Elephas maximus indicus: one gene and its partner. The protein of the gene in region 2 purifies or fractionates together with the protein of the main gene of each other region. This does not show direct contact. Links are inferred from orthologs where the notes say so. Each region holds a gene or a part of one and is shown on either strand. Other genes may lie near its edges.

Region 1 (6,836 bases), on a different chromosome or scaffold from region 2:
GGGCCCACAGGGAGAATGTAGTCTACTTCACAAAAGCCACAAATTCCCCAAACATCATCATCTTTTTTTTTTTTTTTTTGAATATTGAAGAGAAAGAAGAGGGGAAGAGGAGGAAAAAGACCAGTTTGGATCCTTGAGCAGATAACTGAACCTGTCTGTGCTTCAGTTACCACAAAAAAGAAATAATCATTGTGCCTACCCTCATAAATTGTTGTGAATTTAAATAAGATACAATATGTGAAGCACTTACTCCAGAATCTGGTTCAAAAGCGAGTAATAAAGAGACTGCTATTAATTATAATAATTATGTTGTTAGGGATACATAATATTACTGGTCAGATGCCATGTGCTTAGAAGGGGAAAATAAAAATCAGACTAACCCACCCTTGGAGCCCTGGTGGTGCAGTGGTTAAGCTCTTGGCTGTTAACTGAAAGGTCAATGGTTCAACCCCATCAGCTGCTCCTAGATTACAGCCTTGGAAACCCTAGGGGGCAGTTTTACTCTCTTATATAGGGTTGCTATGAGTCAGGTTTGGTTTTTGATAACACACGCTTGGGACTAACCAAATATACTCAACTGTCCTGGTGCATGAAAGCAAACTGGCCAGCACCTGTGTTGACACACCTCATATATACACACGTAACATACTCACTGCCTTTTCTAAGCCCTACCTGACTCTTAAGGCCAGGTCAGGCTTTATTCCTCCCAAAAGTCAGTCTTCACTGTCCACCAAAATATCTTCGCCCTTTCGCACCTCATTGCCCAGGCACCATGGTGCCCTCTGGTAAAGGGGCCCTGAGACATTCTCAACAATCAGCTAGAATGTGAAATACTGAGGACAGGGTTGGAGCATCCTGTCCCCACATCTCTTAACGTGTTCCCTGGTGCCCAGCCCAAGGCTGGACAAAACATTAAATAGAGACTGCCTGAGTAACGGCCGACCGTCTGCAACATCAGGCAGATGTGTCCTTTCTGACCCAACAGGAAGCTCTAAACAACAGAGAAAGGCCTCCGAAAAGCAAATATGTTTAATCAATCAAACGGCAGTTTCTCTGGGGAAAAGGCTGCCCACTGTTAGAACAACTTCCAAAGTTCAAAAAAAAATCTTTAAGACAGCAGTGTGATTGCTGCAGGTTCTTCACGTGGCCAAAGACTGGAGGAATAAACTCAGTGATGCCTCAGGGGAACTGTGGGTGATTTCTCTTTTTAAAAAGTGCTTCCTTCATTGTTATGATATTCGCCCAATCAACCAATATCATGAGGGAGGAGAAAGTCCACTGATGATAAGCAAGCAACAGAAACAGGGAAATCAGAGGAGAAACCAACCCCTTCCCTCTATCCTGCCCCTGGGCAACAGTGAAGTGAAACAAACTCCAGAATCCAGGTGATCACAATGATAAAGCCTAGAAGTACACTGGGCGTTTGTATGCATTTTCATCCCCTGAGTCAGAGCTAACAAACTTTTTTTAAATACCATTATTTCATAGGGGAATAGCACCTGTATCAAAATGTTCTCATCCCCAGAGCAAAAGCCACAGCCCTGGCAACCAAAAAGGTTCCACAGTCACCACAGAGATGGTTGCAGAACTATGCGTGGGAATCAGATCCTAGTTCCAGTATCTGTTCCCCTGACCCTGGGCAAGTGAACTGCACCCTCCCCCCCGAGCTTCGGTTTGTTCATCTGTAAAACGGGAATATTGCCCACCTTTCTCTAAAGTGCCCAGGACTTAAGACACACTGAAGGCTCTTATTAGTGCCTTCCCCCTTTTACAACATAGGTAAACAGACAGGGCGTCGTCCTTCAAACACTTAGTAAAAGTTTAAATCCTTAAATCTGTGCACATTCAAAAGGATATCTTTTGAGCCAAGAGGGGGGTTCGCCCAGGAGAGCCAAGGCGTAGGTATGCAATTTCTCCGTCCCCCCACGGGCGGCGTGCCCTCACCTCTGCCCAGGACGTGACCTCTCTCCAAGTGCCGCCGGGTAACCGTGAACACGTAGCTCTCCGCCCCAAAGCCAGGACGGCAGGGCTCCGGCTCCTCACAGAGCCACGCCGAAACCTGCAGTGAGGGAAAGGTATGTAACCGGGGTGACTTGGGGGGGAGGGTTGCCTCCTGCTCACACTGAAATCCTCCCTCGCTTGCGGCATCGGGACTGAGGGAGGAACGCCCCACTACCCCAGAAGACAGCGGCGTCACCCTCTGCCACCTCGAAACCCGCAGCCGCCAAGCCCCCCAAGGAACTTCGCGGGAGGGAGCTTCTGGGTCACCTCCTCATGACTAAGCCCCCCTTTCCTTTCTGTCTTCTTTTTCATTTCACTGGTAGTGTCTTTACAGTTCACGATTCCGTTTTCTCATACCGAAACGCCCCCGCCTTAATCTAATTCCTCACAGAGGGGCTGCCCAACCCCTTCGGACCTCACTTTCCCTATCCCGGGGACGCCCCCATTTCTACTTACATGGGAGGTGTCTTGATTTCTATGGAAGCCCTTTTCCTCACTTCGTTCCCACTACTGGCTTCTCCTGTACTGACAACGGGGCTTCCCTTTCCCGACTGACTCCACGTCCCCACTGCCCGGTCCAAGTCCACACCTCGACCAACACAGAGCCCCCCGAGCCTACGGCGAGGTGCGCCCCCCACTCGGGTATTTGCGGCCGGGGGCGGGCTCAGCCGCGCGCCGCTTTACCCCTCCCACTCAGGGGAGCGCGCCGCAGCTTCCAGGCCGTTCTCGCCCTTCGGACCCAAACTTTCTCTGAAGGAGGAGCGGGGACAGTGCGAGAGAAGAGGGGACGCAGAGCCGAGGCGCGGAGCGTGGGGCCAGAATGCTTTCTCTGAAGTCAGGTGAGCCGACGTACCTGTAGCAGCAGCAGGAGTGCGAAGAGGCTGCAGCACCGAGGGCCCATGGCGGCCCGGACCGGGGCTGAGGGAGGCGGGGGTCTGGTTGGGCCGGGCTAGAGCCTGGCAAGACTTCCGTGAACTCACAGGTGCTCTTGGACTCCGGACGCCACTGAGCAGAGCAGCGCTGCGGCCACCAGGTGAGTCCCGAGGGTGCCGCCCCCAGCGCCACTGATTGGCTGAGGATGCACCTGCCCTGGCCGCAGCCTATAGGCGGCGTGGCTCGGCCCGCAGCTTCCTCCGCAGGGCGGGGGGCGGGCGGCTCGCCCACGGCCCCGCCCTGCGGCCCCGAAACGACCCGGTGATAAGCTGAGGAGAGGTTTGTAGGGCCTAGGTGGAGCGTTGGGGCTGCATGATTCCGATTCTCACTGGGTTCAAATCCTAGCCCTACCAGGGCTAAGACAGGGGTCAGAAAGGACCCCTTGGGTTCTTAAAGGCACACCACAGCCACCACCAACCACTATCTGGAGAATTCTGTCCACAGTAAAATGACCTAGTTATGTCTTTTTAACTGCAGATCTCCATCGATTAGTGAGTCATCGGATTGATTCACAGGGTCAGGACCACCTCTCACCTGAAGCCTCACCTTCTACACCATCCAAATGGAAATAATAAGTACAAACACCTGACTGTGTTGTTGTGGGGTTCCCATACAATTAATAAGGCCAATGTTTCCTGCACCATAAAAGCTCTGTACAGGTGTGAGGGGTAATAATACTAGCACTAGGTGCTGGGCACTGAATGTTACTGTCCCAGGCTCTGTGCTGAGCATTTGAATTGACCATTCACTTAATCTCATCTCAATACAAACCAAGTGCTGTATCATTGTTCCCATTTGATAGATGGGGCAAACGAGGCTTAAAGAGATTGAGGCCAATAGGCAGTGGCAGAGAACTGGCACCTACCTCCCTCTGATTCCAGGGCCCTTGCTTTTAACTATTATGCTTCACCTCGTGTGGCTTCCCACCCTCTCCCACCCCCCAAGTCTTCCAGCTGGAGCTGCAGGTTTCAATCTGTCCTTTAATTTTGACATGGAAAAGACCTTTTAGAGTTCACCCAAACCTGTTATTTGCAAGCAACTTGCTCAACATCACACGGCAAGTCAATGTCAAAGCTGAGACTAGAACCCAAGATCTCCTGATCCCCAACTGGGGTTCTTAAAGCCACACCAAACCCACCACCACAGCCTTCTCTGAAGCATCTGTCCCCAGTAAAATGATTTTAAGATCAAGAAAAGAATAGCCAGGCAAACATTAGGTCAGACACCTTCCCTTTCCTATGGCCAGCCATGTCTGTGCAGTTTGGCTCCCCCATCCCACCAACTGCTCACTGGCTGTGTGACCTTGGCCCAGGCAGTGTTCTCATCTATATATCCAAACCTTTGGCCATCAAGTTGATTCTAACTCATAACAAACCCTACAGGACAGGGTAGAACTGCCTTATAGGGTTTCCAAGGCTGTCATCTTTACGGAAGCAAACTGCCAGATCTTTCTCCTTCGTAGCCACTTGTGGGTTTGAACTGCCCACCTTTCAGTTAGCCACCGAGCCCATAGCCACTGCGCCACCAGGGCTCCCTTCTTATTTGTATAAATGGATTGAAATGAGTTAATATAAGAAAATCTCTAAGCAGAGTACTTGGCACATAATAGTAACTGCTCAATAAATGTTTGATGTGGAGGTTGTTCTCTAGCAAGGGTCACTCCCCTCTTTCCCTTCCTCACTGGGAAGGCCACATTTGGAATACTGTATTTCACCCAGAGCGAAAGGTGAATCTAAACCTATTGAGGGTAGTTCTCCGAGAACTCCAGAGGAGTGGCACCATTTCCAGTCTGCCCAGGCCACCCTTGGTCCCCTCTGTTTTAATGGGTTTCTGAGCACACACCCAGGCCATTTGGATATCTACATCTTGGCTCTCTGCCTTTTTACCTGCCAGGAGGCTTGGAGGAGAAGCCTTCGGTGTTTCCTTTCCCACTGAGGCTCCTGCTGGACTGTGCATTAAACAAGATAATGGAAATACAGAAACAGGCGTTTCCCCCATGGGGCAGCCTTGCCACTTTGTGGTTTTTTTTTTTTTTCTTCTCCCAGTTATGTAAAAATATATATTTTATACCATCGCTCAGCCCAGGGAGCCTTTAGGGCTTTGCTTTCTTCTTCCCCGCAAGCCCTGGCCTTATAATTCTGAAGTGACTCTCATTGACTCTTCCATTACACTCTGATAATTCAATAAAAAAGATTTTAGAAAACAATTAAGAGCAGCGAGGACAGGTTGGGATGATGCACACTTCAGACTTCTCGGCAGGTCTTTGAAGCTCCAGGGAGTGAGTCCCGATGGGCGGTCCCCTTCAGCTGTCCAGGGTAAGGAGGGAACACAAAGCGGTTCCCTGTGGAGGTGGGGTGATTTGTGACTTTTGGCAACACAGTGAATTGCCTCAGCTTCCCCTTGTATCAAAGAAGCATATTAATTAACTCCATGTTAAGATCAAATGAGCCAGGGTAGGTGAGCCAACGAGTTATGATGTGAGTAGCCTTGGGTCTCAGGTTGGCCAGACCAGAAAACCAAGCCTGTTGCCAATTCAGGCTCGTGACCACCCTGTGTGTTACAGAGTAGAACTGAGCTCCATAGTTTTCTTGGCTGTAATCTTCCGCTGTGCCGTGGGGTGGGTTCCAACTGCCAAAATTTGTACCAAACCAAAAACCCAAACCCACTGCCGTGAAGTAGATTCCAACTCATAGCGACCCTATAGGACAGAGTAGAACTGCCCCACACGGTTCCCCAGGAGTGCCTGGTGAATCCAAACTGCTGACCTTTTGGTTAGCAGCTGTGGCTCTTAACCACCAGGGTTTCCAACTTTTGTAGGGAAGATTCAAGTTCTGGCTTTGCCACTAGCTAGATTGGATAAGCCATTTTATCTTTCAAAGTCTAGGCTTCCTCATCCCTAAAACGGGAATGTTGTTGGAGCATAATTCACAAGGTTATTATAAGCACTCTGTAAAAGTTAGCTATTAGCATCTTTGCCCAATACATTTCCTTCTAGATTCTAGGGAAAATTGTGAGGCCCCTTGAGAGTTCCCCACACCTAGGCTCTTCTACACCCACCCACCCATACCTCCTCCACCCCAGCCATTAAAACCTCTTAGGCTATCTTTTGTATCTGCTGGGGGAAATTCTTTTTAGGCTGGATGGCTGGTCATTTTGACCCTCCCAGGGTCATTTGCATTTTAAAGAAGGTTCTAAAGAATGACCTTGCTTCTTTCAAATGAATGAAAGCTTTTGGCTCTACTAAACTCTGTTAATCTGGTGTCTTGAATGGGTTTCTAGGGGGGTCTGTGAATAACTGGAGATTGTGTGCAAACCTGTAGGTGCAGGTAGCAAGACCCATAACTTTCATTAGCCTCACGGCTGGGGGAGAACAAATCCAAATCTAAAGCTTGGAATCTCTGAGTGCTAATGTGGAATTACAGGCTTTGACAGAAAAAAGGAATGTTGACTAGAGGCCTCCACTGTTCCCTTGAGATCTCTCCAGGTAGGTGATAAACCCCAGCCTTCCTCACTGCAGTGTGTGTCTCTGGCGGATTTTCATTTCCTGGGTGTCCGGGCCCTGCAGAGAGGCTAGTGATTAGTTCCCAAGGCAAGCCTGTCCCTTTCATCTCCGTGTGGCCTGGCCTACCAGGTAGTAATAATGGTGCTCAGACTGGGAGGGGCGACCTCCCTTGGCCTCTGCTGAGAGGAGCCCAGCCCCCAGCTGGCTGGGGATGAATCCCCAGGGAAATTTGAACTGCTAGGGATTACAGCCAGGCCAGCCTTCGCAACAGAGTTGGGAGAGCAGGCTCCATTCTTAGCTGTTCCTGGGGGCTTCTGACACCCCTCCCAGTCTTGCCAGGCTAACCACCAGCACGCAGAAGGGAACTAGACACCCTTGCTACAGCCTGCTGTTATAATGC
Region 2 (7,810 bases):
CACATTGTGTGTAATTCCATACATGCACAAACATGTGTTATTAGTGTCTCTCTTGGTCTCTCTCAAGTAGTAACAAACATAAAGGTTCATTTTTTTTCTCTCTCACCTCAGACATGTTTTTAAAGTCAGGTTTAACAATTTAGCCTCATTTACTGGACCATTTCCAGATCTTTCTCTCCCTTCCAAGAGTAGTGATTTTGATGAACTTGGCCAGTACCAATGACTCTCGACATGGAGTATGACTGGTGTCTCTCCTTCCACATTCACACACAGACAGAGATAAAATAATCTCTGTTTTCTAAGTGAAGTGATGTGAGAAATAAATATGCCCAGTAAGACGCGTTACCTATACTAAAAAGATATGATTTATTGAGGACACTTCAACAAACCACTCTTGCTGCGAGGAAGAAGGAGGATCATCCACCTGAATGGGCATTACCATTGAAGCCCTTCTGCCTCTGGGAAGCTTCAAGTCACTTTGGCACAAATAAGCTCCTCCCTCTGGCCTCCTACAGTGCTCACTACCTACGCTACTTGTCTGCTGCTAGTGTATTATCCACCATGTATTACTGTAAACTTGTTATTTCTTATCGTCTTTTCTCCTCAACTTGACTTGCAAATTCCCAGAAGACAGCAATCACCTCTTAAACTTCTGACTTGTTTCCCACAGAGCCTTGCTTAAGAAATGTCATTTTTATTTATGCCTGTCTGTGTAGGAATGCGGAAGGACAGGCACCAATAACACTACGTCAAGAGCTATCAGTTCTTGGCAATTCAGCCAAAATCTGTTCATCTTAAAAGGAAGTGTCTTTCACATTTGGTTGGTCAAGCACCAAATGGCTAGTGCTCCATTTCAGACACTAAAAATACCAGTGACATTAAATTTGGAAAAATAAATAAATAATTTCAGTTAAGTCACTCTGGCTTCAGGGGATGGATCTGGGGAGGATAAGCTGGAGTTATGCATGTATTCCAATAGGCAAGAGATGATGAGAATTTGAGAAATACTTAGGAGACAAGAATGGAAGATGTAACGATTGATTGGATATTGGGGGATGGTAGGAATCTATGCTGACCCTTAGGTTTTTGGTTTGGGTGATTGAGCAGGCAGCAACTGAGACAGAAGCTACCAGGAGAAGCCCATCTGGAAGTAGGCCTGAGAGATAAGTCTCTTCCACTTAGTTTAATACACAAATACTTTAGCAACTTATTGACAAAATACCTAAAGTGATTAGTGCAAAAAGCTCACCCAGGGCTTTAAGAAAAAGGAATCCTGGAAGAAGACTACTGTTTATGCTGCCATTTATCTGTGAAACTAAGCTGGCTGGCTACTTCATGCCTTTCTTCAGGCAGATTCCCTTCTACAGAAAAGAGCAGAAAGGTATTGTCTCGGGTTAAGATTTTCAAGTCAATTATACACCAGATACCCAGAAAGATTCCTATAGACTTCAAAGACAATTACTTCCTCTATTCCTTCAAAAAATAACTTCAGAGCTGTTGTTAGGTGCTGTAGAGTTAGTTCTGACTCATAGTGACCCTATGTACAACAGAATGAAACACTGCTGGCTCCTGAGCCAGCCTCAAAATAGTTGCTGTGTTTGAACCCATTGTTGCAGCCACTGTTTCAATCCAATTTAAGAATTAGGCAACTTAACATAGGAAACCATCCTAAAGATCCCTGAACAAAGGCTGATGGACAAAACAGTGCAAACCATCCACCCCCTTATGTGACTGCCAGTTTTACCTGCATACCTTACCTGGAAAGTTCTCTCGATTTAGCTTGGGTCTGCGAACAATCACAAAGTCCTTGTCATTCCCCTTGCTTTTCAGCCGCTTTCGCGGGGGGCTCTGCGGGTGACTAAGGCTGGAGAGCAGTTCCTGGGGGATATTTTCACTGTCCACCTCCTCCTTCTCCAGGGCAGAGACTCCCATGCCTGAGAGCAGTTCTGAAGTCTTGCTAGAATCCCATCCCCACGTGAAACTGGTGGTAACGTTGCTACTTTGGTCCGGAATCTCCTGGAGGTGTTTCCTGCAGAAATGCACAACACTCCCTTTCTTTTCAAGAATAAAGCCAAAACCAAACCCATCCCCCGTCCAGCCTTTCGATTCATAGTCACCCTATAGGGCAGAGTAGAACTGCCCCACTGAGTTTCCAAGGCTGTAATCTTCAGGGAAGCAGACTTCCACATCTTTCTCTTTCGAAGCGGCTGGTGGGTTCGAAATGCAGACCTTTTGGTTAGCAGCCGAGCGCTTAACCATTTGAGCCACGAGGGCTCCAAGGTAGGCACAAAAGAAGCTGCAGTTTATGCGCTGTAGAAAACTTGAAACTTCCGCAGCAGTTAATAAAATTGCATTTGTAAGTGCCAGTGGCGAAATCCCAAGAAAAAAAAATAACCGAACAAATGGGAAAGGCTTTTGATTTACGATCACGCAGGCAGGCCTCAAGAATTTCTTACGGTGGAGGGAACAAGGAGGGAGGGAGGGCAGCCATCCAGTGATTTTGAAAACCCTGCAGGAAAGCCCTATAAGGGAAGCCAAATAAAACGTCTCGCTAATCACCTCACTAAAACATTTATCCACACTTTCCCAAAGAATGGGCTAAGCAACCATTCGCATAATCACAGCATTAGTAACAACAACAGCAAGTAGCAGTATTCACGGCCTAAAAGAATTAAGACGGTCCATGCACGCTCTGCCCCTTTTTGCAATCGGTTTACCTGTGCATGGCGTCCACCGATTCACAGGAGTTTTAAATACGTGCATTAATTGCGGAGCTGCTGCTTCGGGATTCCGGCTTTGGCGCGCGGCAGCTCCGAGCGCTCAGCGCTGGCCCCCAACAGTGAGACCCGCGAACTCTAGTAACGTTCCATCCCCGCCGCGCGCACAGGGCTCTTCTGCCCGCTCTCCTCTGCGGCAGAGGTCTGAGGCCCAGCTGCCTGCTGGGAATTGTAGTTCCTATGCTGTCCAGGAGTCAGGCTGGCTCGCCCTCTACTTCCTGAATCCTTCCCTTGAAGCTTCGCAGGCCTTTGAGATACCCACAACCCCCCGCGGCCCACAGGGGCGGGCAGGGAAGCGGAAGTGGGCGGTGCTCCGGCTGACTGGGAATGTCAGCTGCTTGAGTGAGAAAGGGTTTTCCTTTCCCGGGAACCTGCAGGCCTTCTGCTGACTGCTTCCGCCGTCATTTCAGAGCGGGGGTCCCAGAACCTGGACGGCTGTGGTCGACGCGGAGTTTCTTGGTCCCGTCCAGATTCTGTCTGGTGAGATCAGACGGTGAGCTTGAGGGAGGGGATGAGACACTTTGGGGTCTGGGGTCTGAGGTCCGGGGCGGAGCAGAGGAGGACACGGAGGGAACCCCGGAGATCCCGAACGGCTGCCGCCGCGGGGCCTGCGTCCCCGGCCACTGCATGGAGCCAGTAGCCCGGCCCGTCACCCAGGTGGGCGTCACACCTGCTCTGCCCTCTGCCAGGAAGCTCTTCCTGCACCGGGGAGAGGCGGCCCTTGGGCCCTTCAGGAAATGATTTCAGAATTAGACTGGGTCTGTGGGCAGGATCCTTTCCTTACCTGTGAAATAGGCACTACGACAACAACGCTCTTGTTACAGGCGTTGAATGAGGATCGAATCAGATAACGGTTGTGGAAGCGTTTTCTAAACTACAGCGCAGTTGGAATGAGAGAGGATGGTTGAATTTTAGGGGAACAAGAGACCACCTTGGTTCCTGTGTGCGGTGGGAAGGGTGCGCATCCCCTTGCAGCCTTGACAAATCTCCTAAATGCTAGTATGGGAATAAATATGGTTACTGTACTCGACGGCACTGGGTGGGTTGTGTATCTGCAAAGGGCTTTACCAGGGCTAAGCTCTGAGCCACCAGCAAAGCCATTCGGTTGCTCTCGGCCAACCGGCTGCATCCATTTGCGTCGCCACCTAGAACTGCTTTAGCCTATCTCTGCGGGAAACAGTTTGGGGGCGTTAGAGTAGGGAGTGTACCATATTCCAGGTAGGATGACCGTGCGAAATCCATTGTGCATTGCAAACTACTACAACGATGGCCCCGGGAAAACAGTGGAAGAGAGAAGAGGGATGAATTCCAACCGTAATAAAAATAATGAGGGTTTATAAAGTTTTTTTATAAAGTTTAGAATTATGCAGGGCAGTTTCATCCCCAAAGAATTAGTTCAGTGGGGAGAAAGAGTGGCTGTCTGTTCCCATAAAGATTACAGCCTTGGAAGCCCTATGGGGCAGTTTTACTCTGACCTATAGCTTTGAAGAGTCAGAATCCACTCGATGACAGTGGTTTTATGCTGTATGACATACCTTCATACTACTTTGAAAAAAATGATTAGATTCTTGAAAAGTAACCACTTCTTGACAGGAAGGAATTCATGAACCTTTATTTTGTTCTCGAAAGTAGGTGAGATTTCTATTAAGAGGGGATCTGTTCACAAATTGATTTTGATCAACACTAGGTGAAGAATACTAGGCTTAGTGTGCACAGTTCATTAAACTACTGTTAGATGATAATTTTTTTAAATGCAGTATTCCTGGTTTTTTGCACGGTAGTTACCTATCTTTACTTTGGCTAAGGAGAAAGCAGTTGCCTTCATTTGAGATATACATACTTTCCCTTAAGCTTGCAACTCATTACAGAAAATATTTCTAACAAAAAAAGTTATAGTCTCCAGGAAAGTGAACAAGACAGAGGGAACTGGTAACCTTGTGGGGAGAAAGGATAAAAAAATATTTAAAATGCCGTGGTGAGCACTGTCTTAGTTACTAGGGCTGCTGTAACAGAAGAACCGCAAGTGCATGGCTTTAAAGAACAGAAATTTATTTTCTCACAATTTAGGAGTCTAGAAATCTGAATTCAGGCACCAGCTATAACGGAAGGCTCTCTCTTTGTCAGCTGTAGGGGAAGATCCTTGTCTTTTTCAGTTTCTGTAGCCCTACCTGTTCCTTGGTCCCTTGACAATCTTCACATGGCACCTCTCTTCCCGTTTGTTTTTGCATGTCTTTATCTACCATTTTTTATAACTCTGGTAATGGGTATGGCTCAGTAACATAACATTAGATTGCATACAAAGGTGATTGCAGTACATTACATTACATCTACAGGTACAGGGGTTAGGATTCCACCACGTATTTTGGGGGGACACAATCCATAGCAAGCGTAACAAAGTTTTGAGATATAAAGTAATTGGAATAGGCCACTTTAGATACAAATCTCATAGATAAGAAGGTCTAGTAGATGGGAAGATACTAAATTTAAGGATAAGAAATATTCTTGTTCTGTCTGCTGTTTAGGGAGCATTTCTAGTTCTTAGAATACTGGCAGTATCTGAATTAATGGACATAAGGTCCATTAATTGGTAGGTAGCTAGTAATTGCAAGTCTTCAGCTGAAGGTCCAAGTCCTCTGCTACTGGAGTAGATATTTCACTAACAGTGTTTGCCCTGGTAAGAGAAATACTTCAGCTTGCTAATATGGAACTTTTTTTCTCATTCCTTCCATTCATGGCTGTAAATAAAAGTTTAAATAGATACATGTGATACTGTTTGATATAAGGAATTGTGTCCATTGAAGACTTGCAGTTACTGGCTACGTACAGACGTCTTGTTATTTGTTCTCTTAATTGCACTGTGATTGCTACTGATGTGGAATATTTTATTTTCCTGATTAATTTTGTTAGTTTAACCTTAGCACATCCCATTTCCCACTTTGGGGTACACCATATTTCCAGAACTAAAATCCCTTCCCTATGTTAGTATCCAGGACAAATGAATTACAGTCTCTTTTAACGTCTGCAAATGACTTAGGGCCCGTCATTTCTAGTACCCTTTGGAAGCTTCAGATAGACTCCAAAGTGACTGTGTAAACTGGGGAAGTGTTTATCACCGAGAGATGCTCAGAATGGGCAAGGGTGGTATTATCTGTTTAGAGGTAAAATTATAGGAGGGACCAAAAAGGACTGGAAATCATAAATGATTATAAGCTATTTATTACATGTGTGTGTATGTATACACATATATATGTATATATATCTTATAAGCATTGTTGTTAGGTGCCATGAGTCGGTTCTGACTCATAGTGATGCTATGTACAACAGAACGAAATACTGCCCAGGCCTGCAACATCTTCTCAATTGTTGCTCTGCTTGAGCCTATTTTTGCAGCCTCTGTCAAGACATCTCACTGAGGGTCTTCCTCTTTTTTGAGAACCCTCTGGTGGTATTTGAAATACCACTGGCATAGCTTCCAGCATCACAGCAACACGTAAGCCACCACAGTGCTACGAACCGACAGATGAGTGGTGGCTTATAGTCATAAATATAGTCATAGGTGTGTGTGTGTACATATATAAGTATATGTTATTTTCGAAAACCAAATATGACAAAAGAGATTCTATTTAATGAGAATGGTGATGAATTTTTTCCTTAGCTCCTTCACACCCACCAAACCCACTGCTGTCAAGTCGATTCCAACTGATAGAGATCCTATAAGACACAGTAGAACTGCCCCATAAGATTTCCAAGGCTGTAAATCTTTACAGAAGCAGACTGCCCCATCTTTCTCCTGCAGAGCGGCTGGTGGGTTCGAGCCACCGACCCTTTGGTTAGCAGCCAAGTGCTTTAGCCACTGCGTCACCAGGGCTCCTAGTTCCTTCATAGTATGAAATAAATTGTAAAATTCTTGAGTTTTTTTTCTCACATCATTTAGCTCGGGAACAAGAGCCTGAGAACAATTATGTGGCAAGAAGTTTGTATCTGCTAATAAAATTTGAGAAAGGATCTTTTTTCCTTGATTAATTCTACAGTAAATCTTTTGTTCTCTGCAGTTAAATGCTGTCAGTGATGGGCAGATGGTGGAAAGGTTCTGGCCCTGATTCTAATTTGCTCTATGTTTTCTTTTCTACTTTTCCCATACAGATTAGAATCACATATTACCCTTAAGTCAACTAATGGCAGTATTACTCTGAGGTAAAGAGGCTTAGCTAAGTTCTACATTGAACATTTTCTTCTTATACTGTGAACTATGTCTTGATAGGGATGATCAATAGGGGAATTTCTGATTGTTCACTATGGAGACTGAACAGAAGAAATTTATTTAAACAATTTAAATTGCATTAAGAAACTATGTCTGGACTGGAGAAGAGAAGATGTAGCTTTCTAACTGTGAGCCAGACTCTAGTTAGGATGCCTCAGTTTGAATCCCAGCTTTGCCATTTTAAAAAAAAAAAAAAAAAAATTTTTTTTTTTTTTTTTGTGGGAACTTGGGGAAACCCTGGTGGTGCAGTGGTTAAGTGCTACAGCTGCTAACCAAGAGGTCAGCAGTTCAAATCTGCCAGGCGCTCCTTGGAAACTCTGTGGGGCAGTTCTACTCTGTCCTATAGGGTCACTATGGGTCGGAATCAACTCGACGGCAGTGGGTTTGGGTTTGGTTTTGGTGGGAACTTGGATAAATTCCTTATCCTGTTTGTGCCCAATTTTCTCCTTTATTAAACAAGAATACTAACAGTCTTCTCTTTAGTATGATAAAGCTTGTTAAGTAGGAGCACAATATTTAGTAAGTGCACACTAAATGTTAGCTATTCTTTTTTAAAATTATTTTGTTATTAAGAGAAAGTGTAAGGATTATTTTCTAATTACCAAAACAAGTCTTGCATTATCTACCTGAGATCTTTAAGAATTCATTAAAATTTTACTTGCTTTCTTCTGACCTCTGTACATGGTTGCAACCCCTTCCCTTCATGCCTTGCCAAAGACAGAACAGTTTGTGTGTGTCCTTCTCCTAAACACTTGTCACACTTTGGAATTCG

What was found. Proteins that work in one complex are often made in the same cells at the same time.
Region 1: the proteins of SKP2 (region 2) and CDH1 purify together in Homo sapiens (affinity purification with western blotting; 3 studies listed by BioGRID and IntAct, with this or other methods). This does not show direct contact. The link is inferred for Elephas maximus indicus from reciprocal best matches to the Homo sapiens genes SKP2 and CDH1.

Annotation. Positions count from the first base shown.
Region 1 is NC_064839.1:35,055,163-35,061,998, reverse strand, and holds the start of CDH1 (cadherin-1), read right to left. Parts: upstream 3,021-6,836; 5' UTR 2,903-3,020; coding exon 2,855-2,902; intron 2,841-2,854; exon of another isoform or gene 2,060-2,840; coding exon 1,945-2,059; intron 1-1,944.
Region 2 is NC_064820.1:41,308,190-41,315,999, reverse strand, and holds the start of SKP2 (S-phase kinase-associated protein 2), read right to left. Parts: upstream 3,016-7,810; 5' UTR 2,726-3,015; coding exon 2,718-2,725; intron 2,030-2,717; coding exon 1,758-2,029; intron 1-1,757. UniProt on the Homo sapiens protein: Substrate recognition component of a SCF (SKP1-CUL1-F-box protein) E3 ubiquitin-protein ligase complex which mediates the ubiquitination and subsequent proteasomal degradation of target proteins involved in cell cycle progression, signal transduction and transcription.